Mus musculus: one gene and its partners. The protein of the gene in region 7 interacts with the protein of the main gene of each other region in a pairwise test. Links are inferred from orthologs where the notes say so. Each region holds a gene or a part of one and is shown on either strand. Other genes may lie near its edges. The genes, in order: Eid1, Apbb1ip, Mkrn2, Lax1, E2f1, Gkap1 and Ndn.

Region 1 (4,058 bases), on a different chromosome or scaffold from region 7:
AGGATCATGTAACACTTTGGAGAAAAGTTCGCTGAAGAATATAAAAAATGACCATTGGCAAAAATTATATAAGATAAAGAGGAATGCTATGGAGCATTGTCTCTTGGACATGACAGGGCCATTGCATCCACGAATAATAAACTAAAGCTATGGAAAGATTATAAAGATACAATCAAGGCTGGAGAAATGGCTCAGCAGTAAACAGCATCGGCTGCTCACACTAAGGACCAGGGTTCGACTCCCAGTAATCACAGGGCAGTGTACAACTGACTTCGTTTCTAGGAGTTCCAACGCCCTCTTTTGGCCTCTGTAGGCACAATGCACACACGTGGCACACAAACATTACAGACAGGCAAACAAACGCATACACACGAAAGAGAGATCAAATTGATAAAACTTAAGTTTACTTATATTAATTCCATAAAACAATACGTGGTAAGGGTGTGGATATTCTCAAACACTATTGGCTACAGTTTAAGTTTGTAGAGCAACCGTGGCGCGTGATTATCTGTATATATTTAAAATATGTATAGCCTATTTTCCACCTTTCTTTATCCTAGTACTCACACATGTATGTGGTTTAGTTTCCCCATGGTATATACGTGTGGACATACACACAATTTATCTTTGGTTAGGTCAACTTCAATAAATTCAGAAGAAAAAAACCGAAAAGTTAAATTTTCTCAGTGCGCAGGACGGGACTAGTGGGATTTGAAATGGTGAGAGGTAATGGACATGCTGATCACAGGAACGCTGGGGAGGCAGGGAGGTGGAGGAGAGATGGCATCTGTGACAGAAGGCCAGGGCTTTCCATCTAGGCAAAGCAAGCACTTGGCAAGGAACTTAGAGCTGGTCTCCAGGTGGGTCACCAGCGGAAGCATCGCGGGTCCTGAGTGGGTGTGAGGGTGAGGTGGGAGTCCGGGAAACATAGGGGGTGAGGGGTGGGAAGGGAAGAGCTCGCGCCCGCGCCCGCGCCCGCGCACCACGCCCCCCCCCCCCCCCGTGGACCAAGCGGCCTACTCGCCAGCACACGCACGCCATGCTGGCACGCGCACCACGCCCGCCTACCCGTTTGCGCACGTGAAACGTGCTCCGCACGCGCATCACGCATGCCCACTCGCCTGCGCACGCGCCCCCCCCCCCCAGCTCGCGCTCCACGCACGCCCTCTTGCCTGCGCACGCGCACCACGCCCGTTCGCGCGCCCGTCTCTGCAAAAGGTTCCTTTTTTTTTTCCACCTTGGTCGAGTCGCTTCCACCATGGCGGAGATGGCAGAGCTTTGCGAGCTGTACGAAGAAAGCAACGAGTTGCAGATGGACGTGCTGCCCGGCGAGGGCTATATGGAGGTAGGCCGCGGGGCCCGCGGGCCGGCCCCGGAGGAGGGCCCCATGGAGGAGGAGGCCGGGCCGGCCGCCGCCCGCGCCCAGCGCGGTCTGTTCCCCGAGGCTGGCGCGGACCTGGAAGGCGACGAGTTTGATGACTGGGAGGACGACTACGAGTTCCCTGAAGAGGAGCGCTGGAGCGGCGCGATGCACAGGGTGTCCGCCGCCCTGGAGGAAGCCAACAAGGTGTTCCTGCGAACCGCGCGAGCCGGAGATGCCCTGGATGGCGGCTTTCAGGCGCGGTGTGAGAAGAGCCCTTTCGACCAGCTAGCTTTTATCGAAGAGCTGTTTTCGCTGATGGTTGTCAATCGACTGACCGAAGAGCTCGGTTGTGATGAGATCATTGATCGAGAGTAAATGCTGACGAGAGAGGAGGAAACTACCTGAGAGGGAGAGATTCAACATTCTGCTATTTTGGGGTTCATTCCAAATAGTTCTGTGCAAAAAATAAAAACAGTTGGTTTTTGTTTCTCGGAATAGAAGACGGGACAGTGAATGACCATGCATTGTGGAAAAGGAGAATCGAGGAAGGAGGAGTGTTAAACCTGAGAATCGCGAGGAGAAAAAGACCAAATCGTTCCTCTTTGGTCTCACAGGGGCTCAGCAAAAACCTCTGGTTCAGACTGTTGATCGAGATGATTTTCCTTACATTGGAGAAGAGCTTTCTCTGTTAAGCTTTTAAAGATGGTTTGGAAGAGTAAATTGTGACTACCAATACAAGAATCTAATTAAAGAATGGGGGGAAATACATTCCAAGATGTCTTTAATTCGAACTGAAAGGCTATTGAAAAAAAAAAAAACTTTCCAAATTCTTTTTGGTGATTTATACACATCAGTTATCAAAAGCTAAACTTGAGGTTTAAGATTGAGTATTCATCTACCCCACAGAGTAGTCCAAGTAAATGTGGGTATAAATGTAGACGTGTTATCATGTGTGCTGTCATCTTAAAATGTGTTACAAACGCTTCTGGAATTTTGACTGCACATGTATCTTCATGATTTATAAAGCTACTGTGACCTCTAATTTGGAAAAACCCATTGTAATGATTTTCAAAGTAAAGAAAGAAACAGGATGTCTTTTTAAGGTTTTAAGTTCATGCATTAAATAAAATGTATGGGAAAGCCCAAAGACAAACTTTCTAATACCCTTTTATACTAGGGAAATTTCACTTGCTGTTTTGTACCTTGACAGATGGTAAGACTATAACTGAAGTTCATATTGTAAGAACTGTTTGCTAAAATTGTCAAGTAAAAAGAAATCCTGCCTGTATCTATAAAAAGATGTATGAGCTATTATGTTGTCAAACTTTGAAGGTTTTAAACCTACCCAGAAGTCCACCTGGGTGTCTGATATTCATATTCTCTCTCTCCCTCTCTGCCTCTTTCTTCCCCTCCCCCTCCCTTCTTCTAATTATGCTTGTTAATCTTTATGCACCAGCATTGGCGATAATAAATTTTCTTGTTCTGTGTATTTTGCTTTGTCTAATAGCTTTGCATACATGCTTTATACAGGATTCTCTTGCTGTGTGTGCCACGCCTCCATCTTGATATTTAAACATCCAATGCTTACAATGTAAACCAGTATCAAATATCCAAAAAATGGGTTCTGGGATGTTAAAGCAAATTTCAGAGTTTTCTGGAAGACCCGCTCTGTGAATGTGATGCTATGGCTTAATTGATGCTGAAGTTCCTTGAGAAGAAAATGATGTATTAGCACGATGTCCCTGCTGATGCCACCATGGCAACCAATACAGAACAGAGCTGAGACAGTAGGATAACTCCTGGGTTTCTGTGGGGTTGGTTGGTTGGTTTTACAGTCATCTTGTTTGAGAGGCTGCCGAGGTGGTTCAGTGGGTAAAGGTACCTTCTGCCATATAGCCAAGCCTGATGGCCTGAGTTTGATCTCTGGGGTCCATGTGGTGGAGGGAGGGAGAGAGACCTCCCCCAAGATTGGGCAGGCCTGTTAGTAATTTTAGACCCTCACCTGGGATTTTAGTTGCTCCTGTACCTCCAAAGCACCTGTACATAATTTTGCCCCGGTTACATGTGGTTTCAGAAGGTGCTAAAACACAAAAGGTGGGAGGTTGGCTGATGTTAGGTGGGGACTCGTGTTTGGGAAGCTGTCACCCATGTTAGGGTAGGACATTTAGATAGAGCCGCTACAAACACTTCCATGGGTAACCCCTCAGCCCTCTTTTTTACTCACCCAATAAATTGCCTCACTAGTTGGACTTGAGGGAATCATTTATTGATCTGTTATTGGTATTTACCTGCTGTAAATAGACTTTTGTTCACATCTCCACAGAAATATAATACAAATATCCATAAATTTGAGTGTATTTGTGTTTGGGGACCAAAGTATATCGTGGAAGTTAAGAGGAGAAGCCATGCATTGGTATTTCTTTGTATCCTTTATTCTGCATTTATCTATCTATCTATCTATCTATCTATCTATCTATCTATCTATCTATCTATCTATCTATCTGGGAGATTCATGCCACAGTAAGCAAAGGGCAAAAAATAACCTTCAGGAGTTGCTTCTCTCCCAGCATTTGGGTGGGGCCTAGGGATCAGACACAGGTCATCAGGCGTGGTAGTAAACTCTTTTACTCACTGGACCCTCTTGTATTTATCTTTAGTTTTGTGGCGATAGGGTCTCACTATGTAGCTCCAGCTG
Region 2 (3,500 bases), on a different chromosome or scaffold from region 7:
TGTCCCTAGGGTATATTGCCTCTTTTCTTTTGCAATGCTTTCATGAGGTCTGACATAAAATCTTGCTCACTGTTCCCTGGTGCACCGGGGAGTCCTTGGTTCTCTTGCCTCTTGGGGGGGACTAGGGGCTTTTTGGGGGGCAACGGAGATGACTTAGTTATCTCCTGGGAGAGACAGGGCGGGGGTGGTGGCGGGGGTGGCAATGCAGAGTCTTCAACAGCTGCAGGCGGTGGGGGTGGTGGCACGAAGTCTGGTGGCTCCTCCAGGTAGGGCGGGGGCGGGGGTGGCGGGAGTAGCCCGCTGTTGTCCTCCTCAGGCGGTGGGGGCGGTGGAGGTGGCAGGAAGTTCTCCGGCGGGTGGGGGAAGGTGCAGGTGCCAGGGCCCTTGACCTTGGATGGCAAGGCGGGGCTGCCACAGGTGTCTGAAGACCGTCTTACTGGAGGGGGTGGCGGTGGCAGGCTGGACTTAGGACGGTGGTTCTCCCTGGTTGCTCCTGGGGAATGGTTACCCAAGCCTTGCTTTTCATCCTTCAATAAAGAAACAATAGAGTTCTTACAGTTCTTGACAGTACATCCATCATGTGGCATTGCCGCTGATGGGATTGCCCCATTCCTTCCTACACTGGGTCTTAACGTGCTCATGAGCTCACCTTTCTCCAGGCACAGGAATGATTCCAAATGTCTGTCACATCATTAGATGTGAGCACTAAAACAGCACGCTCTGTAACTGGGCATCTTAACCACATTTACTCTAGGAGGTGTTTACTGTGTTTAGGACAAGCACAGACCTTCCCTAGCAAGTCTTACACAGAAGTTAAATGTCTCTCTAAAGTACTAATAAATCCTAACTCAACTCAAACTGGAAACCAGACGATTCTCTAAGACTCCCTACTCCTGACCTAAGGCAAGCTATCAGTGGGCATATGCAGGAACACAATTTTAGGTGTGTGCATGAGTATATGTGAGTGAACTATCCCTCTGTGCCACACCGTTGACAGCATAGAGGTAATTAAGGGGCATCTCAGAGTGTTCACCAAAATATCTTGGCTTAAAATCTAGTGAAGCACTTGGCTAAAGAGCTCACAGACTCTAGGGGTGAACATACTATTATTTTTACTAAATGGACAAAGTTTTAAACTGCCTTCTAAATCTCTCTCTGTATCTTTAGGTTAGTGCTGCTTCGTCCCCATCGGAGAAAATTCTTTGCACAGTGGCCAACAGTCATTACAGAGACTCACACTGATCCAGGTGCGGAGAACAAGTATCAGTGACGTGCTCACTCATACATGGAACATCTTTGTAATACACCCTCCCCCCCCCCCCCCAAGACTCAGTTCTCTGGAACAAGAAGAGGCAAAAGGACTGTAAGAGCCAGAGGTTGGAGAAGATGAGGGTGAAAGTATGTCCTGGACATGACAGGCCATGACCTGCATAAGATCCAGCTAGTGGACTTTCCAGCACAGCTGGCACAAGTATAGGAGCTCCTACCCCTAGCTGAGGATCGACTGACTACTGAGGAGGGAGAGTCAGTTCTCCTTAGGGCTATGGTCCCTGGCAGGTTGACTGTGACCCAGTGGATGGCCCTATACCCATGAGTATATAGGTAACACTGGACTCAGTGGGTTATAAGAAAAAAGGGAACATGGAGTTGAGAAGGAAGAGTGTGTGGGAGTGAGGGGGTATTTGAGAGGAGTTGGAATGGGGGGATGGGGGATAAATGTGCTTGAGATAAATTGTGAATTCTCAAAGAATAAATAAAGAATATTATGCTAAAAGAAATCCTCTTTGTTTAGACAGCCTGCTTGGTTAGGATGAAGAATGTACAAGTGAAGAAACTGAGAAGTAATCCTGTCTGGGTGACAGGTAACTCTTTTACAAAGCCATAAAGGATCTCTTCCTGCTGGAGAGTGTGTCCAATCTTTCCCTTGGTTGTGGATGAAATTTCCATGCAGCACTGTTCTTAGAACAAAGGTTCCAGTTCCTAGACTCTGCCCTTCTAAGGAGGAGTTGATCATAAACTTTGTCCTTGTACCTTAGAAGGTTCCAGAAGGGAGAGGTTGGAAGCAGGACACATAGTCTAAAATTGTGTGTGTGCATTTGTGTGTGGGTGTGAGTGCGTGCTTGTGTGTTATGAAATTCAGGTATACAATGAACATGAGCTGCCTCATGTTATAGTGAGATAAGCCCTAGAGTCAGAACACTTGACCTGGCTTAAGTCTCTCTAGACTCTAAGGTCTACAGCGTTCAATAGAGGACTTGACAATGGCAATAACAATGTGTATTTAAGTAACAGTGTATTTATATAAATGTAACGTCCCCAGCAATTTCAGGCAGCTGAATTGAATGACTATGTTCTGGTGAAAACCATCATCACTTTAATTTACATTTTTATCAGCTTTTAAAGCATTTTTTTTCTCTGCTTAACAGCCTGAACTACTAGATATTAAATTTAGGTTTTTTTTTTTTTCTTCTAGCAAAGTACTTTTCAATGAGTTTCAATTGTGTTTCATTTATTTACTTAGCATGCAAAGCTCATAAACTTGTGATTTATTTCTTGATTTTTTTGGATCAGGCAGATTAGGTATTGGCATTCACAAAGAAATTATTTCTATTCTGGGGTTCTTTCATTCCTTCTTAAAAAAATACTTCTTTTTGACTAATGTTACAGAAATAATGAAAATATAACAGAAAGAACACTGCCTGGTCAGACTCTCAGGTTTGGATAGATTAGAGAAACAGCTTTTAAAAGTCTGAAATGGCTTTCAAAAACAACAAATCTTTAAGTGAACACCAATTTTCACTTTTACCTTTGAAGGTGTGGATGAAGAAAATTATTGAAGTTGTGCACGTGGATTGTAATATGTGGGTGATAGGACAGGACCACAATTAGTCTGAGCTGTACTGCACCACAAGAAACACTCAGTGGAAATTCAAGAGTCACCTGAATTGGATTAATAACTAAATTACAAGCATCTATGGGTTTTATACAAATTTAAATTAATCTTCATTAGTCTCTTTTATATAAAAAGTTATGGAGGATGTTATATTTCAGCCTGCCTGCTTGCCTGCCTGCCTTCTTCCTTCCTTCCTTCCTTCCATCCTTCCTTCCTTCCTTCCTTCCTTCCTTCCTTCCTTCCTTCCTTCCTTCCTTCCGTCTGTGCTAGCTATGGAGCCCACATACCCTCACACATATAGGGCACGTGCTGTGTCTCTGATCTGCACCCCTAGCTCTTGGTTATTATTTTAAATGTATTTTCTTTTCCATCACCCTGAGTATGTATTCAAGTCATTAAGTGAAAAATATAAAATGCACATTTTATAAGTGGACCCCTTTTGGGAATCTTCTGATCCGGTCTTGGGGTTCACTTGGCACTTCATATAGGGTTCCCGACTAATTTTCAATTGCTTTAATTCACTAAAACAAAACAAAACAAAACACCTGAAAGTCTCAAGGGCTCACTGAAAGGACGTGAAATTTATTATGACATGAAGGAAACCCCT
Region 3 (4,040 bases), on a different chromosome or scaffold from region 7:
CCCCTTCCATGATATTCTCAGAGCCTTGCTAGCAAGGTCAGGGTATTGGCACACATGTTCTATTTAGAGCTGAGCATTCAGAAGTCCTTACCTGTTTTTACAGTGTACCACCTCTATAAAATGAAAAGAATACCCATAATGTTTCCAGAGTACTATGCTGTTCATTTTTTCTTCTTCTTCTTTTTTAAATTTATTTATTATATGTAAGTACACTGTTGCTGTTTTCAGACACACCAGAAGAGGGCACCAGATCTCATGATCTCATTTCGGCTGGTTGTGAGCCACCATGTGGTTGCTGGGATTTGAACTCAGGATCTTCAGAAGAGCAGTCAGTGCTCTTAACCGTTGAGCCATCTCTCCAGCCCCCTGCTGTTCATTTCTATACAATGCCAACTCAACACAATAAACCAGGAGACACTTTTTCAAAGCTGATAACACAACTGTAGTTTGCAAAAATCCAAATTATATATATGTACATACTGCTTCAGTGTCTGCCTCCAGATTCCTGCCTTGAGTTATGTACGTATGTATGTATGTATGCATGTATGTATGTATGTATGTATGTACACAAAAAGATCAGTACGGGGAGAGGATATTTGGTGTGGATATAATCAAATACATTGTACACATGTATGAAATTATCCAAAAATAAATAAATAAATAAAAATTCTTACTAGAGGATGGCTCAGTGGTTAGGAGCACTGGCTGTTTAGTTGGGGACCAGGGTTCAGTTCCCAGCACCGACATGGTAACTCACAATCGTCTGCAACTCCAGTTTCAGGTGATCTAACTCCCTCTTCTGGCTTGCACCAGCACTGCATTCCACTTGGTGTACAGCCACACATGCAGGCAAAAACACTCATATCATAAAATAAAGATAAATAGTAAAATTACTTTTATCATCATTAACATCATCAATCATCATCATCATCATCTTAAAAGACTGCCTTGAGAGATGGGGGCCGAACCCTAGAAGTAAGGGCCTCGCAGATGATTGGTAAATTCAGTATACTAGACATGCTCAGACCCTTAGCCTCAGAAAGTTGGGATCCGGACTACTAAGGAGTAGGGACCTTCCGGCTCCAGGCCCTGGCGGAACCCATTGTGATGGTGGTTAGGTTTCCGGGCGGCACCTTAGAAGTAGCGCACGAACGAGGGTGGCGCGCGCAGGAGTGACGCGACTCCGCGGGGGGCGGGGCGGGGCGGGGAAGGGCGGGGCGGGGCCGGGCTGGGCCACGGCGCTGGCGGCTCTGAGGTTTCAGTGCGACTCCAGCCCGTGGCCCCGCCGCCATGAGCACCAAGCAGGTCACCTGCAGGTGAGTGCGCGGCCCCTCTGGGCCTTGGGCGCTGCGGGGCAGCCAGGGAGGGAGGCGAGGGGCCGAGGCGGGCGGTGGCGGGGGGCGGACAGCGCGGATAACGCGCAGGAAGGCCGCATAGAGGCTAGAGCGGCAAGAGCTGCTGCAACCGCGACTTGCAGAGAGTGAGCGAGGGCGATTGCGGGGAAACACGGGCAGGTCGCATTTCTTATCCAGCATCACCACTGAGCCTCCGAAGAGTCCCATTTCGAGATGCAGGAAACCGAGGCCACCAGAGGTAAAGCGACACCCATTTAGGAACAGAAAGGCGGCTTGTTAGACGAAGTGGAAAGCAGAAAACTATTCCGTGACTACTATTTTGAAACAAAAATAGTTGGGTTGAGTAGCAACGTACTAACTTGGTGACGAGCTTGTGGCTGTCATTGGGGTCTAGTCCTGTGAGTTTGCATGCTCAGGAGGTGCAGCTTGGGAAGTAAGGCTTGTGAGAATCCCGACTGTGGAAACCCAAATTTCAAAAGGCTCCAAAATCCAATACTCTTAAGATACCTAAATAGAAGGCGGGCGGTGGTGGCGCACGCCTTTAATCCCAGCACTGGGAGGCAGAGGCAGGTGGATCTCAGTTAGTTGAAGCCAGCCTGGTCTATAGAGGGAGTCCAGGACAGCAAAGGCTACACAGAGAACTTTTTCAGGGTATGTGTATAAGCATATGTGAAATGATGAATTCTGTGTTTAGACTCTTGTACTATCCCCAAGACCTTATGTACATGAAAATACTGTAAAGTACAAAAAAAATTAAAGACTCTCCTGAGCCCAAGCTTTTTGGATTAAAGGAGCCTCGGCTTATACAGACTTTAGTTGGTTTCAGTAAATTAAGAAATTGAGATGTAGTTTGGATATGTGGTAAGCATTTAATGACCTTGTTATTTCTCATTAGTGCAGACTCCTAGAACTAATACCTTTATGAAGAGTTCTGTTCGACTTAAGATATTAAGGGTTGAACCATGTACCAAGGTCCCAGGTGGTTTATGTTAAGTAGTAATCAGAAAACTGCAGTTTGTGTATGTCTGTGTGTGTCTGTGTGTATGCATATGCTAGTTTTGTGTTAACTTGACAAAGTTGACATGAGACATCATCATTTGGGAAGAGGGAACCTCTTGGTTGATAACTGATGTGGGAGGACCCAGCTCACTGTGGGTGGTGCCACCTCTGGGCTAGTGGTCCTGGGTGCAGTAAGAAAGGCTGAGCAAGCCAAGAGGGTCAAGCCAGTCAACAGCACTCTCCTTGCTTCTGCATTAGCTCCTGCCTGGAGTCCTGCACTGGCCTCCCATAGTGATGGAGTAAGACACTTAAGTAGAAGATACCTACAAGTCTAAGCTCTCCTCCCAAAGTCGCTTTAGGTCCTGGTGATTTATCACAGCAATGGGAACTTTTCGGCAGTCCTGTAACAGTGCTTGCAGGTCATCGCTACTAGAACGTCTCTGTTGAGGATGAGTGAATGGGTACTTACTCCCTTCCGTCTGCAGGAGGACGTGTTCCTACCACAGTGGCCTTTAAAGCAGACTCAAGCTACTTAGAAAATAACCTCTAAAACTCTGCTTGTTTACAGTTTTGTTGTTTGAGACAGAGTCTCTCTGTGTATATCCTGAAACTCTCTATATGTATCAGGCTGGCCTTGAACTCAGATCTGCCTACCTCTCCTTCCCATGCAAGAATTAATTGCCACCACACCTAGATGGTTTTGTTTTTTTGTTTTGTTTTTTGTTTTTGTTTTTGAGACAGGGTTTCTCTGTATAGCCCTGGCTGTCCTGGAACTCACTCTGTAGACCAGGCTGGCCTCGAACTCAGAAATCCGCCTGCCTCTGCCTCCCGAGTGCTGGGATTAAAGGCGTGCACCACCACTGCCCGACTCCTAGATGCTTTTTAGTTCTACCACTTAAAGGCTTTCCTAAGACACGTGTCTACAAAACCTTCATGTAATGCTTAAGCCCGGCCATTTTGATTCTCCCCCTTTGTACCCGGAGATAGTTTTAGCTCTGTCTCACAAATAAGAGAACCCAAGATGTGGTGCAGGTAAGAGTTGGAATGCTGGGGCTAGATGGGTTGACTAGTGTTTGTGGTCTTCTTTCTGCTGCCTTGTCAAGTCATAGAATGTGTAGTGCTGTATAGTGCTATACCTGGATGAAGCATGTAACGAAGGAAGGCTGTATTTTGACTCTCAGTTTGCAGGTACAGCCCATGACAGAGGGGAAGGCATGGTGGCAGGAGCTTGTTGTAGCTGACCTCATACACTCAGACAGCAAAGAGTGCTGGTGCCGAGGTCACCCTTCCCTTTTTATTCAGTCTTGGGCCCCAGCCTAAGGATCGACACCTCCACACTCAGGATGGGTCTTCCCACCTCTCCCTCACAGTTGTGACAGGAGATTTGTCTCCTCAGTGATCTGCAGTCAGTAGCATCCATCACAACCTTGAGATCTGTCAACTCTATGAACATCTTCCACAGTGAAACGACCTTGGTATTGTCAGGTTTTCCCCAGGGTTAGCGTCAGAGTGACACAGGTGTGAAGCCAGCATTGAGTCTTAGACCCCGGGCTCAACTGCAGGACATTTCAGAGTTTTCACATGTTCTCATTCTCACAAAAATGTATGAAAAGGAGGTTTCCTTATAAAAGGGTATGAAGGACGGGACTGGAGAGTTAAGGATGCTGACTACTTCTGCAGAGAGAC
Region 4 (4,178 bases), on a different chromosome or scaffold from region 7:
TATGGCAATTATCCCAAAAAATTAAAAATAGAATCGCCATATGCTCTGTCAGTCCCACTACAAGAACTTTATTCAAAGCAAATGAAAACTGTGTCTGTACTCCCGTGTTTATTAGAGATGTTTGTACTGTCATAATCTTTGCAGCAAAAGTCACCATAGCCAAGATGCAGAATTAACCCGCGTGTCTATCAACAGATAAGTGGATAGAGAGAATTCGGAATACACATGCAAAAGATATCACTGAGCTTTAAAAGGGAAGACGATCTTGTCATTTGCGACATGGTGGATGGACCCAGAGGACCTAGCATTAAGTGAAAGAACCCAGGAACAGATAGGTCCTGCTCCGTCTTGCTTATATGCAGAGACTAAATAGATTGAACTCAGAGACTCAGAGAATAGAATGGAGGTCACCAGAGGTGGTAAGGGAGGGTTCCCAGAGGTGCCAAAGGTCAGGTAGAAGGAAGAAGTTCAACATGGCAATGCTGAAAGTAATGGATTCTTGAACATTGCTTAAAAGTGTTATTTGAAGCATCCTCTCATAAAAGGATATGTCACGTAATACATACGGTATTTAGCCATCCATAATACACATGTATTGCAAAACTATGTGCTAAACATAATACATAAGTACAGATTTTATTTACTGACTACCAAGTGAAAAAGAAAGAGAAAACAACAATAAAGCAAATGTCAACTTAAAAAAGAAATAGTTTTAAGGGGTCAGTGAGAGGGCTCAGTGTGTAAAGGCACCTGCAGCCAAGCCCAACACGCTAAGTTTGATCCCTGACACCCATATGATGAAACTGACTTCTGTAAATTGCCCTCTGACCTCTACACCATTCTACTCCCCCCAGATATAATAAAGAGGGAACTCATTTTAAGAGGGTGCTCCAGGCTTCAGCGATGGATAGGAACTTGGTCCTCTTCGTTTGTGTTTGACCTGCTCGTGACACTGATTTACTCTGGTCATCACGCTGACTTTTCCTGAAACTACAGCAATTCAGGAACAGAATACACTGTCATTGGGTTTTTACTTTGATGGAAGAGCTGGAATTTACCCATTCTAATGTTTCTAAAATCTCAGCGCCCTATCAACAGATGCTTTCCTTTTGTGTATTTGAGATTGAAAACTTCCGGAGCACGTTGACATCCGTGACTAGCTCTGTAAGGTCCTAAAACTTTATGACGTCTGCAGTTACATTTCTCACTCATGACAAGGGCTTTAGGATCTAAAAACTCATTGCAGGGATTAGGCCAAGAGGTTGGAAATCTCAAGGGCAGAGGTCAGGACCTCTGAGTGGAAGAAGATCCCCTCAGAAATTCACCTCTCAGTCAGTCCGTCCCTCTCCCCTCAACCCCAGTATCTCTTTTCTTCCCTCCCAGCATCCCTCGGGGAAACAGCTCTTAGCTCCCCAAGTTTGCTCATCTTGGTGGACCCAGGTCTGGGTTGGAAATAGACCATTCCTGTAGGAGATCAGGGGACCCTGGGGCTCACTTTCCCAAAGCACTCACCCCTGCAGGCTGCCAAGAGTCCCCTGCCGAGTGCTGGGCTCTGAGTTCCTTCTTGTGACCTCTGGAGGGGCCGGGGTGCTGTACATCACTGGACCTCTGAGGGGCTTTGCAGCTTCTAAGCCTTTTCAGTGTCGTGACTGACTAGCCAGTATGGCTTCCACTTTTCTTAGCTCTTTCTAAGTTGCTGATTCATAGAGGGGAAAAAGGGTAAACTGGTATGCATTTTGCATATAATCACCTTTTAAAAAAAAAGTAGATAATAGAATGACAGAAAATTCTCCAAATCCCTATGTATTCCAAATTGTATCATTTTGTACTATTGAAATTTCTTATTTAAGTACCCAAGATGATATATATATATATACATATATATATATGTATATATATATATACACATATATACACATACATATACATATACATATACATATACATATACATATACATATACATATACATATACATATACATATACATATATGGGGGGTGTAGGATCTTGAACTCTGATCCTCTGCCTCTGCTCCCTCAGCACTGGGATTTCCAGGTGTGCACCACCGCACTCATGAAGGTGGTTCTGGAGCTGGAACCCCAGGGCTTCGAGTACCTCATGCAATGCAGCCACCTCCCAGTCATTCTTCCTAGATCATATTCACCAAGGTTCTCACATACAAAACTGGTTTTTAGTTTTTGTTTCTTTCTGAAGCTTTTAATCTTCTGTTCTAGAATGTTCTCCCAACAAACTGCCTTCTTTGGGCTGGTGCGATGGCTCTGCAGGTAAAGGTACTTACTGCCAGTTTAATGACCCAAGTTTACCCTCTGCATGCATAGTGGAAGGCAAGAACCGGTTCCTACAAATTATCTTCTGATCTTCCGAGACACACACACACACACACACACACACACACACACACACACACACAGAACGGCTGTACCACCACTACTACTACTAACAGCAACAACAATAGTAATAAGACCCAAACCTCCCTACCTTCACCTGAAATTCCAGGCTGAGTTGGTAGAAGGTTCATCAGAGTTGGTCTACTGGAGGTGGCCACAATGCCCACTGCAGGAGCCGTGCTCTTTCTCACCCAGCTGTCTGTGCTCCCAGTGTGAAGCAGTAGGGCCACTCTCTAGTTTCTGCCAGTTGATGGAAACATGAGGGGCCTGTGGGGGAGTAGGGAGGCGACTGTCAAGAGGCCCAGCGTTTTCGTGAGAAAATCTTCTTCCTCCAACCCCCAGGGCAGTGTGAAAACAGCAAACCACTCTGGCAGAATGGAAAGTCGCTGACAGGAAGCACCCTCCACCGGTGTGCTAATAAGGCCAGGGCACAGGAAATGCTCCGCTCAACCCAGACAGCAGGAAACCCACCTTCAGCCCTCCTGTTCCCCACAGGCACTCTGGCATCTGGGGCCCATGTGGTTGAAGAGTCAGAGACATGACTATTCACCCTGTTTTTCTGAGTGTTAAAAACCTCTAGGGTCAAAATTCGAAGGTTCAAGACAATGTGCTTGCGTAGCTATTGTCATTGGTTATCTTTACTTATTTATGCTTTTCACATCTATTTACTGTGTCTGCACACATGCCGTGCCACATGAGTGGGGGTCAGAGAACACTGGAGGGAGTGTGTTCTTTCCTACTTACTGTGTTGGTCTCAAGAGTCAAACTAGGGTGTTGGACAGAGGCAAGTGTTTGTATCCAATGAACCATCTTGCACACTATGTTTTTTTTGTTTTTTGTTTTTGTGAGGCAGATCTCCCTTCAGAGGTCAAGTTGACTGAACTCATAGTAGCTTCTTGTCTTAATGTCCCTGGTGATGTGCTTACAGGTGTGAATCAGGCTCAGGGCTCAGAATGGTTCTTACCCCTGCTCCCAACCCAAGACAGGGTTTCTCTACACATCCATGGCTTTTCTTTCTTTCTTTCTTTCTTTCTTTCTTTCTTTCTTTCTTTCTTTCTTTCTTTCTTTCTTTCTTTCTTTCTTTCTTTCTTTCTTCCTCCCTCCCTCCCTCCCTCCCTTCCTCCCTCCCTCCCTCCCTCCCTCCCTCCCTCCCCCCCCCTCTCTTTTTGGTTTTTCGAGACAGGGTTTCTCTGTATAGCCCTGGCTGGCCTGGAACATACTTTGTAGACCAGGCTGGCCTCGAACTCAGAAACCCGACTGCCTCTACCTCCTGAGTGCTGGGATTAAAGGCGTGTGCCACCACTGCCCTGTTCTGTATTTCACTACACAGGCCAGGCTGGCTGACCTCAAACTCTCAGAGGTCCTCCAGCCTCTGTCTCCTAAGGGCTGGGATTGAAAAAGTGTACCACCAATGCTGGCCTTAGAATGGTTCTTAGCAGATCTCAAAAGAGCTAGAATTAGTTGTTTAGAGAGCTGTACAGAGCTGGCACCCGCTTGTGGTTCCGTGGGTGGACTGGCTTCATAAATAGATCTTCTGCAGGTGATAATGCCAGAGGTGAGCTGAGTTTCATACTCTCAGAGCCTCTGTTCCGGTATCATAGTGGGAATGGAACCGAGCCCGGGTTACAGGGCCGTTGGCCACTGTTTCTTCCTCAGGGCTTCTGGTGAGGGGCTATCTGTTGCTGGCCTGGCTCTGCTGCAGCCAGTCCCAGTCCTGGGTAACCTCTCATTTCAGGTACTGCTGGGTTTCTCGCCAGCATTTACCTCAA
Region 5 (3,500 bases), on a different chromosome or scaffold from region 7:
TCCCTCTCCCTTTCCCAATAAATAAACTGCTTGGGCCTCAGCAACTCTTGGGTAGGGATCCTGCCCTTGCTTCAGAGAACAGGGACTTAAGGTATCACCCATGCCCCCCACCCTTTGCTTATCCCCCCAGGCTTGCCAGAGGCCTCGATAAATAAATAAACGCTCCATTAAAGCTTCGATCGGAAAACTTTTAAGCAGTGCTCTTGCTGCCCTGCAAACCCAGCCAGGCAAGCTGTACCACCCGGCCTGGCTGACACACAGGATTCTGAAAGCAGGCAGCCACCCTGGGCCTCACAGGGCCCCTGCAGCAAGGACACCAAAAGTGCAGTTAGAGCCCACCCCCACCCCAATGCGCACACATGGATCCATGCACACATGTGGACACACCAGGATGTGTCTGCAGCACACATACAGATGTGTTCACCTTCATTCCCGGGCACACGTGCACATACACATACATACACACACACACACACACACACACACACACACACACACACACACACTCACACACACACACACACACACTCACACACACACACACACACACACACTCAGACACACACCCCAGGCACACAGTGCGCAGTGTGGGGTGCATGCACACACACTGTACAACATCCTTCCCATTTTGGTCTGCTCAATGTGGCAGCAACCAAACCCCAGAGCTAGAAGCTATTGGGACAGAGGGTATGGATCGTGCTATTCCAATGAGGCAGGAAGGATGGCCCAGGGCAGGAGGCTCCAAAGCTGCAGACAGGTGGGCATCTCCAGACACCCTGAATCCCTAGGCTTCTGTCAGAAATCCAGAGGGGTCAGGTCCCCAAAGTCACAGTCAAAGAGATCTCTAATGCCCTCACCCTCCTCGAGACCAAAGTGATAGTCAAGGGCCTCGTGGGGTGGGGAGAGGCTGATGAACTCCCCAGGGAGGAGCCCAGAGAAGTCTTCTTTAACATGCTCCAGGAGTGAGTCAGCAGCCACCAGTGGTGACAGTTGGTCCTCTTCCATAGGGACCCTCAGGTGGCCCATCCGTGGCAATACTGCTTCTGGAGAAAGGAGGCATTACAAGTTAGGAGAGGCCCAGCAGGAGAGGGGCTGCCATGAGTGCCTGCCAAATACTACAAACCCTGGCCCTACCTACCTTGCTCCAGGCCCAACAGGGATTGACTGGGATCCAAGGCTGGGGATGTGGAGGGAGGTGATGGTGGAGGCCCTGCTGGGCCAGAGTCTGCAGTCCGGTCCTCCCCAGAGGATGTCTCCTGGCATGAGGTCTTCCCAGGGCTAATCCCGTCTGCACTCTCCTCCGGGCACAGGAAAACATCAATGGGGCCTTGTTTGCTCTTAAGGGAGATCTGAAATGTCTGGGTGGAGGCAGCAGGCAGGATAGATAGGTAAGGCCTAGGTGAGCACCAGCCCAGCCTCCCTGTCTTGGAAAGGCTTAGGGTCCTTAGTCTCACCTCTGAAGAATCCACAGCTTGTAGTTGGGTCTCAGGAGGGGCCTTGATCACTATGACCATCTGTTCTGCAGGGTCTGCAATGCTGCGAAGGTCCTGGCAGGTCACATAGGCCAGGGTTGGGGGAGTCAAGGACCACTGACTCACATACGCCTCCCCAGTCACTCCTTTTTGACACCCTCATCCCACCACCTGGCCCATAGTAGCTGCCCAGAATCTCATTACTAAACTTCAACTTTCTCAACAGTGAGACTATCTACCCATCCAATTCCAAACTCATGGCTGCCTGTAATAATTTCATATCAAATGCTCAACAGGTCTGGACTGGGAAATGGATTTTGACAATCTTACTGATAATGATATTCACTAAAAGGCACACTTTCTAATAGTTTCTTTTTGTGAATTAAAGTCTTAACTTTGAAGCTACAATCGGGAACTAAATTAATGACCAAGGAAAGGTTTGTCACTCTTTGGTGACAGGGTCTGTGTAATCCAGTGACCTATGCTTATGTTGCATGTCTTACTCTATAACCTCAATTGGCCTTCAGTGTTAGTTTCTGCCTCATCCCTGGCCCTGGGATTACAAGTATATACCACCACACTGGGCTTTCCTTCTTTGGTTGAGACAGGGTCTCACTGGGTAGCCCTGGCTAGCCTAGCATGTGGACCAGAGCAGCCTGAGTTCAGATATCCCCATGGCTCTGCTCCCCCAGAGTCTGTATCCCTGTTCTCAGCCTGGTCTTTTCTGTATATGAGTGGTTTCCATACCTGTATGTGCACCACACAAGCACTTAGTGCTTTTGGAGGTCAGAAGAGGGCATAAATGCACTATAACTAGAACTACAGATAGCTGTGAGCCACCATGTACATGCAAGGAATTGAACTTGGGTCCTCTGTAAGAGTAACAAATGCTTTTAACTGCTGAGCCATCTCTCCAGTCCTTGGCTTCTTTTAAAATGTATTACTTGATTTTAAAAAAAGATTTATTTGTTATATATAAGTATACTATAGCTGTCTTCAGACAGCAGAAGAGAATGTCAGATTTTATTTTATTTTTGTTTTTTGAGACAGGGTTTCTCTGTATAGCCCTGACTGTCCTGGAACTCACTCTGTAGACCAGGCTGGCCTCACACTCAGAAATCTGCCTGCCTCTGCCTCCCGAGTGCTGGGATTAAAGGCGTGCGCCACCATGCCCAGCGTTTTTCTTTCTCTTTTTTTTTTTTTTTTTTTTTTTTTGAGACAGCAAACTGGCTCTGTAGAGCAGCCTGCCCTCAAACTCAGAGATCCGCCTGCCTCTATCTCCCAAGTGCTGGGATTAAAGGTGCACGCCACCACAGCCCTGGCTATTTTTCTATTAATATGTACAATTTTGGAAATAGATATTACTGTCCTCTCTTTTATAGGTGAAACTGAGGCCCATAAAATCCAAGTAACTTGTTCGGTGTCACATGGTAAGTCAATGTAGAGCCAGGTCTTGTTTCCAAAGCCAGAATTTTTTATCATCAGAGCCCTAGGTAACCTCTATAGTCTCAGTAGTGCGGCGCCACCACTGGCCAAGTCGGCCTTCAATGCACCCTGACCAATCCAAGGATATCGCTGGGTGTCGGAGTCCTCCGAAAGCAGTTGCAGCTGTGTGGTACAGATGTGCATCAGGTGATCCAGCTGCTGCTCACTCTCCTGCAGTTGCTGCAGGTCCTGGGTCAGGCCTTCAAGCCGCTTACCAATCCCCACCATGGTGTGGCTGCCTCTGTGGGAAGCCAGTGAAGAATTAGCAGTCCTTGCGCCCCCAACCCATCCATCAGCCCTAACCCTCAAGACAATCTGTTGCCACCACTATTCTGTGAGAAGCTGGCAAGCTCCTTTTCCTCTGTGGCTCTGCTCCCCAGGTAGGCTTAGAGTAAGACTGGCACGGGCTCAGTAAAATGCTTGATCAGTCAACAAACACCCACCAAGGAGCCAGGTAAGAAAACAATAGCACAAACATGCCATGGAATGACACAGCTGAATTAGATACAAACGATTTGGAGACACACTATCAAGTAAAAAGAA
Region 6 (4,192 bases), on a different chromosome or scaffold from region 7:
TTCTTTCAGCTGTTTTAGAACTGCTTCAACTGCTTATGGCCACCTATTTAGCTGCCTTCAACCCCAGTCCTATGAAAACCGGTAAGTAGCTGCATCCTCCTCTTCCAAGTGTTCACGCTCCCTCTTACAAGCAACCGGGTCTCAAGACCTCATTTCTCCCTTCCCAATCAGATGTTCAAATCCTGTAGAATGCACCTCCACATCACTTCTCAATCATTTAAAATTCTTCCTGCCTTCCTTTATCTTGTCTTGCCCCATCCTCTTGGCCCCGACCCCCGGATCAATCTTTCTGTGTAGCCACCGGCCTTGGACTCACTTTCTGATCAGCTTGCCAAGTGTTGGGGGCTCATAGCCGTGTGTCCTCACCGCCCCCCCCGCCCCCCCATAGCTCATCTGTTATTACCGTCTGCCTGGTCTACACAGGACTGCCAGTTTTCAATCTCTAACATCTGCAGGAGTTACAAAGCAAAAAAAGCCTTCATTTCTTCCTTCAAACTTCTAAATCCTAAAACATCAAATATTGCCTTAAACATCAATCCTTACTCTTGGAACTCAGCCATCCCTCACCACCGCCGCCCCCCTCCCTCATTTTTCAGTCGTCTCTGCCACTTGTCAACACCTCCAATCTCATTGTGGAACGCAGCGTCCAATGGCCTCCATCCAAGGCCCCGAGGTCTCCCCGCAAAACCCCACCTCTTCCCAGGCCAAATCCAAAAGCCTCCTCCCTCGCGCTGCCCCAAAGATGCTCGCAGTCCTCGGATCCCGAGTAACATTCTCTTTTTCCACCGGGCCCTAGGGTGATCTGGCGTCTTCTGCGATTCTTTGCTTCGCTCCCCACTGTGTCCCCCACGTCTACACCCGCGGCGGTGACTCGCGCGGGACATCGCCGGGCAGCCCGCACGGCTGGGCGGTAGCGGACGGGTTTGCCGGTAAGCCGCTTAACTTTGCAAAACTAAAGCGGCCCCGGAGGTGCTCCCGCGGGAACCCAAGGCCGTCCGGCTGTTTGCATCTCGTGCAGCACCGCCCTCCCTCGCCGACTGGAGGTCCGCCTCCGCCCCCGGGCCTCCCCACAGCCTGGCGATCCCGCCGCGCGCCGCCCGCGGCGGCCTAAGCCTCCTCCCGGAAGGCCTCCCACCTTCCCGGCTCCGCGACCCCGAGGACCGCGGAGCCGCCGCCTACGCGAGCCGTTTGGACCCTGCGCGGCCCCCGTAGCGCGGCTCCTCCAGCAGGTGGTTCTGGTCCTCCGCAGTCCGTCCCCCGCGGACCTCTCCTCGGCGTCAGCGTCCGCCGCGCTGCGACCCTCGGCAAAGAAGTCCCGCGCGCCGGCCGGCCACGGCGGGCGCCAGGCTTGCGGGTCCGCCCCGCCCCGCCCCGCCCCGCCCTCCGCGCGCCGCCGCCCTCCGCGGGCCCGTTACTGCGGACGCCCCGCGGCCCGCGCCCAACGCCCGGGGGTAGCGCGGGAGCGGCGGGGAGACGGGAGCGGCCGCACCGCGGCGAGGGAGGCCCGGTGAGTCTACGGAGCCTCGCAGCTCGTGGCTGAGGGGACGCGGCCGAGTGCGGCCTGAGGCGGGGAGCGGAGCGGAGCGGAGCCGAGCGGGGCTGAGCCGAGCGGGGCCGGGCGGCGGGAGGGCCGCGGAGGCTGCGGGGGAGTGCGGGCCGCAGGCCTGGTCCGCCGCGGCCGGCCGCGGGAGTGACAGCAGGTGCGGCCGCCCGTTCGGGGCTCCCCGGGGCGCCCACCCGACGCCGGTGTCGCTTGCAGGCTTGGACACCGCGTCTCGGCAGCGGCTGGGGCTCGCCCAGCCCGCCGCGCTCTTTCTCCGGGTACTTCGCGAACAAGTTTTGGAGCACCCGGAACTGCTCGTGCGTGAGATTTGGCTTCGGTTCCCGAAGGAGGAGAGAGGGGCTGCTCGCCGCTCGCCTTCCCTCCCTCCCTCCCAGCAGCCCGAGGTAGATGCGCAGGCTCTCGCACAAGCCCCTGCTGTCGGGGCTTCCAGCAGCTATGCGCGGCGGCGGCGGTGGCAGCGGTAGGGTGCCAGCCTCGGGGTGTCTGTAAACGCGGAGCAGTCGGGGCAAAAGTTTATCCCATTGTCTGCCCCGCTCCCTCCACTGGCGACATTTCTCAAGGGATGTCGGTGGAGAGTTCTAGCGAGAGGCAGAGGCGCTGGAAAAACACAAGCATTGTTCTTCAGCCTCGTCTGTTTATGTGAAGGCGCTTGCGCCCGCCTGTCACGGGAATGAAGTTAAGCTGTAGCTCCAGAAATACTGGAGAAACTGCCGAAAGATGGTAATGCTGTATTGAGAATCTTCCTAGAAAGCCTGGGGTTTCCCTACACTAGCTTATGCCACTAAAATCGGTTAGTCTAAGCCTCTTTAATGTGATTTTTCACTAAAGATCGAAATACACCTGTTTAATATTAACCCTAGGGGCTTCTAGCAATCACTCTAGAGCGAGAACCTACACGTGGATCAGAGGGACGTTGTGTGCAAGTGAAAATCACCTTTGCACTTCATGACTGAATTCCTTAGTACATGTCTGCAGTTTGCTTTTTGTTTTTGTTTCTAAGAGTTCACAACCCACAGAAGTTGAGAGCTTCGGATTAGAAAAGGAAGGCTGCACCTAACCAGTGTGTGTGTTGCGGGGGGGGGGGGGGTGGGGGGGGGTGGTGGAGCTCCGGGTATGCCTTTAAGTTTATGTCATTTTCGATAAGTGTGTTGGAAGCAAAAGTTTCAGGACCGTTGGTCCTCGATCCCTGTAACCTTAAGTTCTAAGAAGTCAAAATGACAGTCAAGCAGCCAAGAAGATGAGGGAGACCAGGCCATTCCTTTTCCTCTCATTTTGTAATTCGTAGGGACAGTGCTTGGCATCAAACCCAGGGCCTCTTGGAGTCGCAAGTCCTCAGTCTGTTGTGTTTGATCTGTTAGAGTCCACCAAGGCCTCTCTAGCTGCACGAACTGGTGTACACCTGTATTCCCAAGACTCAGGAGCCTGGGACAGGAGGATTGAGAGTTTGGTTCCAGTGCAGGCTACATGGTGAGAGAGCTGCCCTCTCAAAGCATATGGCCATATTAACTGATGACATTGACATTGCATAGTTCCGTTTTGGATCAAGCTAGGTGGTTGATAGTGTTGATCGACACAGTCACTACTGTTCATTTTTTAAAGGGCTGAAATTATGTACTTAAGTTCCCCCAGGCTCAATTCTTTCCCGACACTGATGTCATAGAAGAAGGTGCTCATGATGGCAGTGGCCCTTCATAGAGACCAAGGCCTCAAGAAAACAGGTCATTCATTTATAAATCTTGCTAGGCGTAGCTTGGCCTGTTCCTTAGTAGCAACAGTTTATCTCACACCCTCACCTTTTAAAAATCAGCAGTTTGACACAAAATCCAAAGCTTCCTACAAAAACAAGATTCCTAGGGGGAAAAAGATGAGTTGTGGAAACACTTCGTTGTGACGGTGCTGTTAGTTAGATGGTGTGTGCTCTCCACCCTCAGTGTTCAAGTTCAGAGCACAGATTCCAGTGCACACTTAGGTATGGCACTGTGTGATTGGAGAATGTAATTAAGCCTCAGTCAGTAAGCTTGAGGTCATGATTAACTTATTTAATGTTAATAATGTTAATTAATGTTTCTTCTTCTTTTTTTTTTTTTTTTTTTGCTGAGACTGTTTTTTACTGTGTAGCCCAGTTTAGCCTTGAACCTATGACCTTCCTGCCTTATCCCTTCCAGTACTGAGACTGCAGATGTGCCCATTACAACTGGCTGATATCTGTGCCAAGTCCTTGATTGATATATATATATATATTTGGGAATACAAAGAAGAGACCTGTGTTGTTCAGCATTTTGTAAATCAGGACAGTAGGGAGCTAGATACAGTGGTAGCTGTTGAAAGAGTCCATGAAGAACAGAATTAAGTGTAAGTGCAGGAACATTAACGAGAAGGCAGATCAGAATTGCAATGGGGCTAAATTTGAAGAACGGAGAAGTTTTAAGTGGAGGAGACAGACATTCCAGACTCCAGGAACAAGTGAACACTGAGCAGTCTGTTTTCTCGCAGAACAGGGAAAGTGGGAGAAATCACTGTAGAATGTAAGTGAATTACTTTTTTAATAAAAATATAGCCATAAATTAATCCAGCAGCTGTATTTCTTTGCTTTATTCCAGTCCCCAATAACCACACAGAGTAACAATA
Region 7 (3,556 bases):
AGTGCGTGTGTGAGTGGTGGCCATGGGGAGCTTGGTGTCAAGACTCCTGTATAAAGGTTTTAGGATAGTTCATTACCAACACCCCTTTTATTTTTTCTTGCTCTGTGATGATACAGTTATTCCTTACTTCTTATGGCTGGTGGGAGGACAAAATAAAGAAGAAAATGCATGATAAGGGTTTATTCTGCTAAAGTGTCCATCAAAGACTATTTTAAAAAATGCAACAGAAAAGGGGCAGGCCCTCCATATACCTGTTATTATCCCCATGTTATGTGATAATGAGCTTTTTTGTTGTTGTTGTTATACCTTTTATGTGACAAATTGATTAAAGCACTGCAAGTTTCTTCTGAGTGGTCGTGTGGTCTCCCACTGTGTTAGGACACCGTGTTTGCTTATGCTGCACACAGGGAGAATCTTTCTCATCCCCACCCATTCCCACTCCCCCTTTCATCAAAAATAAATGCCTCCTCCCCCCCCCCAAGAAATTATTTCACAGTATCTTTAATGCTCATTTTAACGTTTATTTATGGTGGGGTTGCATACATGTTTTGTAAAGGGTGCTAAGTGCCTACACTGAGAACAGTCCAGTTCAAATCAGTCCATTCCACATGGATGCTTCCTGTGCCAGTTGAAGTCATATGGAGAAAGGCCTTGACCTTTCTCTTGCTCAGGTCTGCGTTGCTGTTAAGTCCTGCTAACTCTCCAGGGCCTTCTTTGTCGATACAGATCATCAGTCCCATACAAAGAACAAGATACAGAACACCTCAATGTATTTCACAAGTTTAGCACAGCACATCTCTTGTACAAAAATGCACGAAAGCACAAAAGTGAAAGTACCAAATACTTATCACACATGCATCAATCTTAAACACTACACGAGTACACAAATGAATAGCATTACAAGGTACAAAAGCACTGTATGGAAAACTTAAAAATTATACATGAAATACTGCACTGTGGATTTGGGATACTCTAATGACTCAACCCCACCCTTACACAGCCCTAGTATGGGTCAGAAACTATCAGTGTGCCCCTGGACCTTTTTAGTCCTCAGAGACACTGCTGCGGGGGGCCTGGGCAGCAAGATTAGCCTCCCGCAGAGCTCTGGCCTGCTCCAGAGCCTCCCTGTATCGGGAAGGCCACGCCTGGGGATCTTTCTTGAAGACTCTGGCCAGGAACTCCATGATCTGCATCTTGGTGATTTCACGGTTAGCTCTGGACCCCCAGAAGAACTCGTACTCGGGAGGCTCGATGTGGGGCACACGCTGGTACTTCAGGTAATTCTGCTGGACGAACTCCTCGGTGATTATCTTCCTCACGTCTCCGAAGGTGGAGTGCTTCTTCCAGGGCCTCAGCCCCAGGATGCGCAGCACATTCCAGACCGCACCCTCTCTGGCCCCGCGGCCCTTCACATAGATGAGGCTCAGGATCATGAGCAGGAGGCCTGTCATGGGCATACGGTTGTTGAGCGCCACCCTGTCTAGCTCCTCTGGGCTGAGGGCTTTGACCAGGGCAAACTCCATGGTGTGGAGATTGGTCAGCCTCAGGTGCAGCCCGAACACTCTGGCGAGGATGACGCTGGTGCGCCTGAGGATGCTTCTGCACCATTTCTTGTAGCTGCCCATGACCTCTTTCACCATGTCTGGAAACCAGAGGACCATCCTCTTCTGGTCCTTCACCAACACGTACCACATGAGCTCGTGCGCCTTCTGCACCAGCTGGGCAGGGGCTGGCGGTGCTGGGATCGGCCGGGCTGGACTCTGGGGCTGGTGGGCGCGGCCCTCCTCTGCGGCCTGCTGCAGGATTTTAGGGTCAACATCTTCTATCCGTTCTTCGGGCGGTGGCGAGGCCTGTTGGGCTGCCATAGGGCCTTCGGGAGCGCACGGTGGCCCTGCGAGGTTAGCGGCCAGAGAAGCGGGAGGAGGGATCCCCACCGGAACGGCATCGCTGTCCTGCATCTCACAGTCGGGGACCTCGGCTGCAAAGTTAGGGTCGCTCAGGTCCTTACTTTGTTCCGACATGTCTGCGCCTTCGGATCAGAGCAGGACCGATGCGGCTTGGAGCTCTTGGAGCGGGCACTCCCTCGGTGGAGACCAGCAGAGGAAGTGCGCTTTACTGAGCACTGCGCCTTCCGCAGCAGCGGGCGGGCGGGGCTGATGCGATATTGCGCATGCGTGTTGGGAAGCCAGAAGGGTGGTAGGGCTGGAAAGGAGCGAAGCAGCAAAGCCCAACCACTGGGGTCTAAGGGAGGGTACCACTAGGCTTATGTAAAAGATTTCCTGGTCTCCTGTATGGCACAGAACTAGATGATGGTAGGGAAAGAAACAAGTTGAAGGAGAAAGATGTAGCTGAGATGGTGAAGTTAAGTTCGGACACACTGAGTTTGTGCAAAATCAAATTAAATGTGAAGGTCCTGGAGAAAGACTTAATTCTTGATTTTGGTTTTTCTACAAAAGAATAAGAGAAACAGAAATGACTTTTTTTTCTTTTTTCTTTTGGAAAGCTGTACCTTATGATGATGATGAGTTGTTTAAGATTGGAATATTGAGAAATTATTAATAGAGATAAATTCTTACATATCTGAATGCAGATCAAACAAGGAAGAATGTAAAGTGTAGTTACAGACACTGGAGATAAATCCATGTGAGATTTGAATGTTCTAGAAGTAGTAGATTCATATAGCATAATTGATGGGAGTTTAAAATTTTAATTAAAATGAGACTTGGTTCAGTGGTTAAGAGCTTTTGCAGTTCAAGCATGAGAACCAGAATTTAAATCCCCCAGGCCCCACATGAAAATGAGGGATATATAAAATATATATATATGCATTCATTCATCATTGGATGCTCAGTTTGTTGGTTTTGAATTATTTTAATAACTATAGATTTGGGCTCTCCATTTCTATTAGGTCACTTTGTTTTCATCTAAAGCTTCCGTTAAGATTCTAGTGGAAAATGATCAACATATTTATTAATACACATTTTATGACAGTGTATTTTTCATATTTTCCCACTACCTTTTTGCCCTGCTCACTGCATCTTCTGCGTTTATAAGAAATCTTCTACTTCTTAAATTATGTCATTCACAAATGACTAATTCCATGTTGGGAGCACATCCAAATCTTTCCCAATATATTTTAAATGCAGCTCTTTTCGATACCTAACAGTCTCTCATGAATAAGATGCAACATATTGGTGTCCAAAAATAAAAAGGTAGATCGAGAGGTCATCTAAAGCTGATATTTCCTCAAACTCTCCTTTATACAATGACCATTGTTGAAGCTTCCAAAGCCAGAAGTCCTTAGATTTGATCATCTTTCTTGTTCTGAAATAATGGAATTCCTTAGCCCTTCTCATCACTTAAAGCGGACAGATTTAAGATATCATGTTGGCATTCCTAGGTTCTAAAATATGTTTGTTTAGATATAACAGCTATCTTTTACCCAGAATAGTTATGGCAAGAAGCGATTCAGAGTTTTCCAGATTTGAGAATATTTGCACATGTACAATAACTTGTTTTAAACTCCAGCCTAGACGTGTTATTAGTTTGCTTCTTA

Evidence for each region.
Region 1: the proteins of Ndn (region 7) and Eid1 interact in binary tests that used the Homo sapiens proteins (3 or more experiments, as listed by UniProt). The link is inferred for Mus musculus from reciprocal best matches to the Homo sapiens genes NDN and EID1.
Region 2: the proteins of Ndn (region 7) and Apbb1ip interact in a two-hybrid assay, tested with the Homo sapiens proteins (2 studies listed by BioGRID and IntAct). The link is inferred for Mus musculus from reciprocal best matches to the Homo sapiens genes NDN and APBB1IP.
Region 3: the proteins of Ndn (region 7) and Mkrn2 interact in a two-hybrid assay, tested with the Homo sapiens proteins (2 studies listed by BioGRID and IntAct). The link is inferred for Mus musculus from reciprocal best matches to the Homo sapiens genes NDN and MKRN2.
Region 4: the proteins of Ndn (region 7) and Lax1 interact in a two-hybrid assay, tested with the Homo sapiens proteins (2 studies listed by BioGRID and IntAct). The link is inferred for Mus musculus from reciprocal best matches to the Homo sapiens genes NDN and LAX1.
Region 5: the proteins of Ndn (region 7) and E2f1 interact in a two-hybrid assay, tested with the Homo sapiens proteins (2 studies listed by BioGRID). The link is inferred for Mus musculus from reciprocal best matches to the Homo sapiens genes NDN and E2F1.
Region 6: the proteins of Ndn (region 7) and Gkap1 interact in a two-hybrid assay, tested with the Homo sapiens proteins (2 studies listed by BioGRID and IntAct). The link is inferred for Mus musculus from reciprocal best matches to the Homo sapiens genes NDN and GKAP1.

What each region holds. Positions count from the first base shown.
Region 1 is NC_000068.7:125,671,934-125,675,991, forward strand, and holds Eid1 (EP300-interacting inhibitor of differentiation 1), read left to right. Parts: upstream 1-1,258; coding exon 1,259-1,738; 3' UTR 1,739-3,710; downstream 3,711-4,058. UniProt on the Homo sapiens protein: Interacts with RB1 and EP300 and acts as a repressor of MYOD1 transactivation. Inhibits EP300 and CBP histone acetyltransferase activity.
Region 2 is NC_000068.7:22,871,827-22,875,326, reverse strand, and holds part of Apbb1ip (amyloid beta A4 precursor protein-binding family B member 1-interacting protein), read right to left. Parts: intron 1,779-3,500; exon of another isoform or gene 1,168-1,778; intron 528-1,167; coding exon 6-527; 3' UTR 1-5. UniProt on the Homo sapiens protein: Appears to function in the signal transduction from Ras activation to actin cytoskeletal remodeling. Suppresses insulin-induced promoter activities through AP1 and SRE. Mediates Rap1-induced adhesion.
Region 3 is NC_000072.6:115,600,698-115,604,737, forward strand, and holds the start of Mkrn2 (probable E3 ubiquitin-protein ligase makorin-2), read left to right. Parts: upstream 1-1,240; 5' UTR 1,241-1,290; coding exon 1,291-1,316; intron 1,317-4,040. UniProt on the Homo sapiens protein: E3 ubiquitin ligase catalyzing the covalent attachment of ubiquitin moieties onto substrate proteins.
Region 4 is NC_000067.6:133,687,309-133,691,486, forward strand, and holds the start of Lax1 (lymphocyte transmembrane adapter 1), read right to left. Parts: upstream 2,801-4,178; 5' UTR 2,501-2,800; intron 1,697-2,500; 5' UTR 1,599-1,696; coding exon 1,513-1,598; intron 991-1,512; exon of another isoform or gene 1-990. UniProt on the Homo sapiens protein: Negatively regulates TCR (T-cell antigen receptor)-mediated signaling in T-cells and BCR (B-cell antigen receptor)-mediated signaling in B-cells.
Region 5 is NC_000068.7:154,559,893-154,563,392, forward strand, and holds part of E2f1 (transcription factor E2F1), read right to left. Parts: intron 3,199-3,500; coding exon 3,046-3,198; intron 1,570-3,045; coding exon 1,455-1,569; intron 1,359-1,454; coding exon 1,139-1,358; intron 1,044-1,138; coding exon 796-1,043; 3' UTR 1-795. UniProt on the Homo sapiens protein: Transcription activator that binds DNA cooperatively with DP proteins through the E2 recognition site, 5'-TTTC[CG]CGC-3' found in the promoter region of a number of genes whose products are involved in cell cycle regulation or in DNA replication.
Region 6 is NC_000079.6:58,271,389-58,275,580, reverse strand, and holds the start of Gkap1 (G kinase-anchoring protein 1), read left to right. Parts: upstream 1-1,392; 5' UTR 1,393-1,507; intron 1,508-1,759; exon of another isoform or gene 1,760-1,947; intron 1,948-2,849; exon of another isoform or gene 2,850-3,031; intron 3,032-4,192. UniProt on the Homo sapiens protein: Regulates insulin-dependent IRS1 tyrosine phosphorylation in adipocytes by modulating the availability of IRS1 to IR tyrosine kinase. Its association with IRS1 is required for insulin-induced translocation of SLC2A4 to the cell membrane.
Region 7 is NC_000073.6:62,346,873-62,350,428, reverse strand, and holds Ndn (necdin), read right to left. Parts: upstream 2,153-3,556; 5' UTR 2,022-2,152; coding exon 1,044-2,021; 3' UTR 501-1,043; downstream 1-500. UniProt on the Homo sapiens protein: Growth suppressor that facilitates the entry of the cell into cell cycle arrest.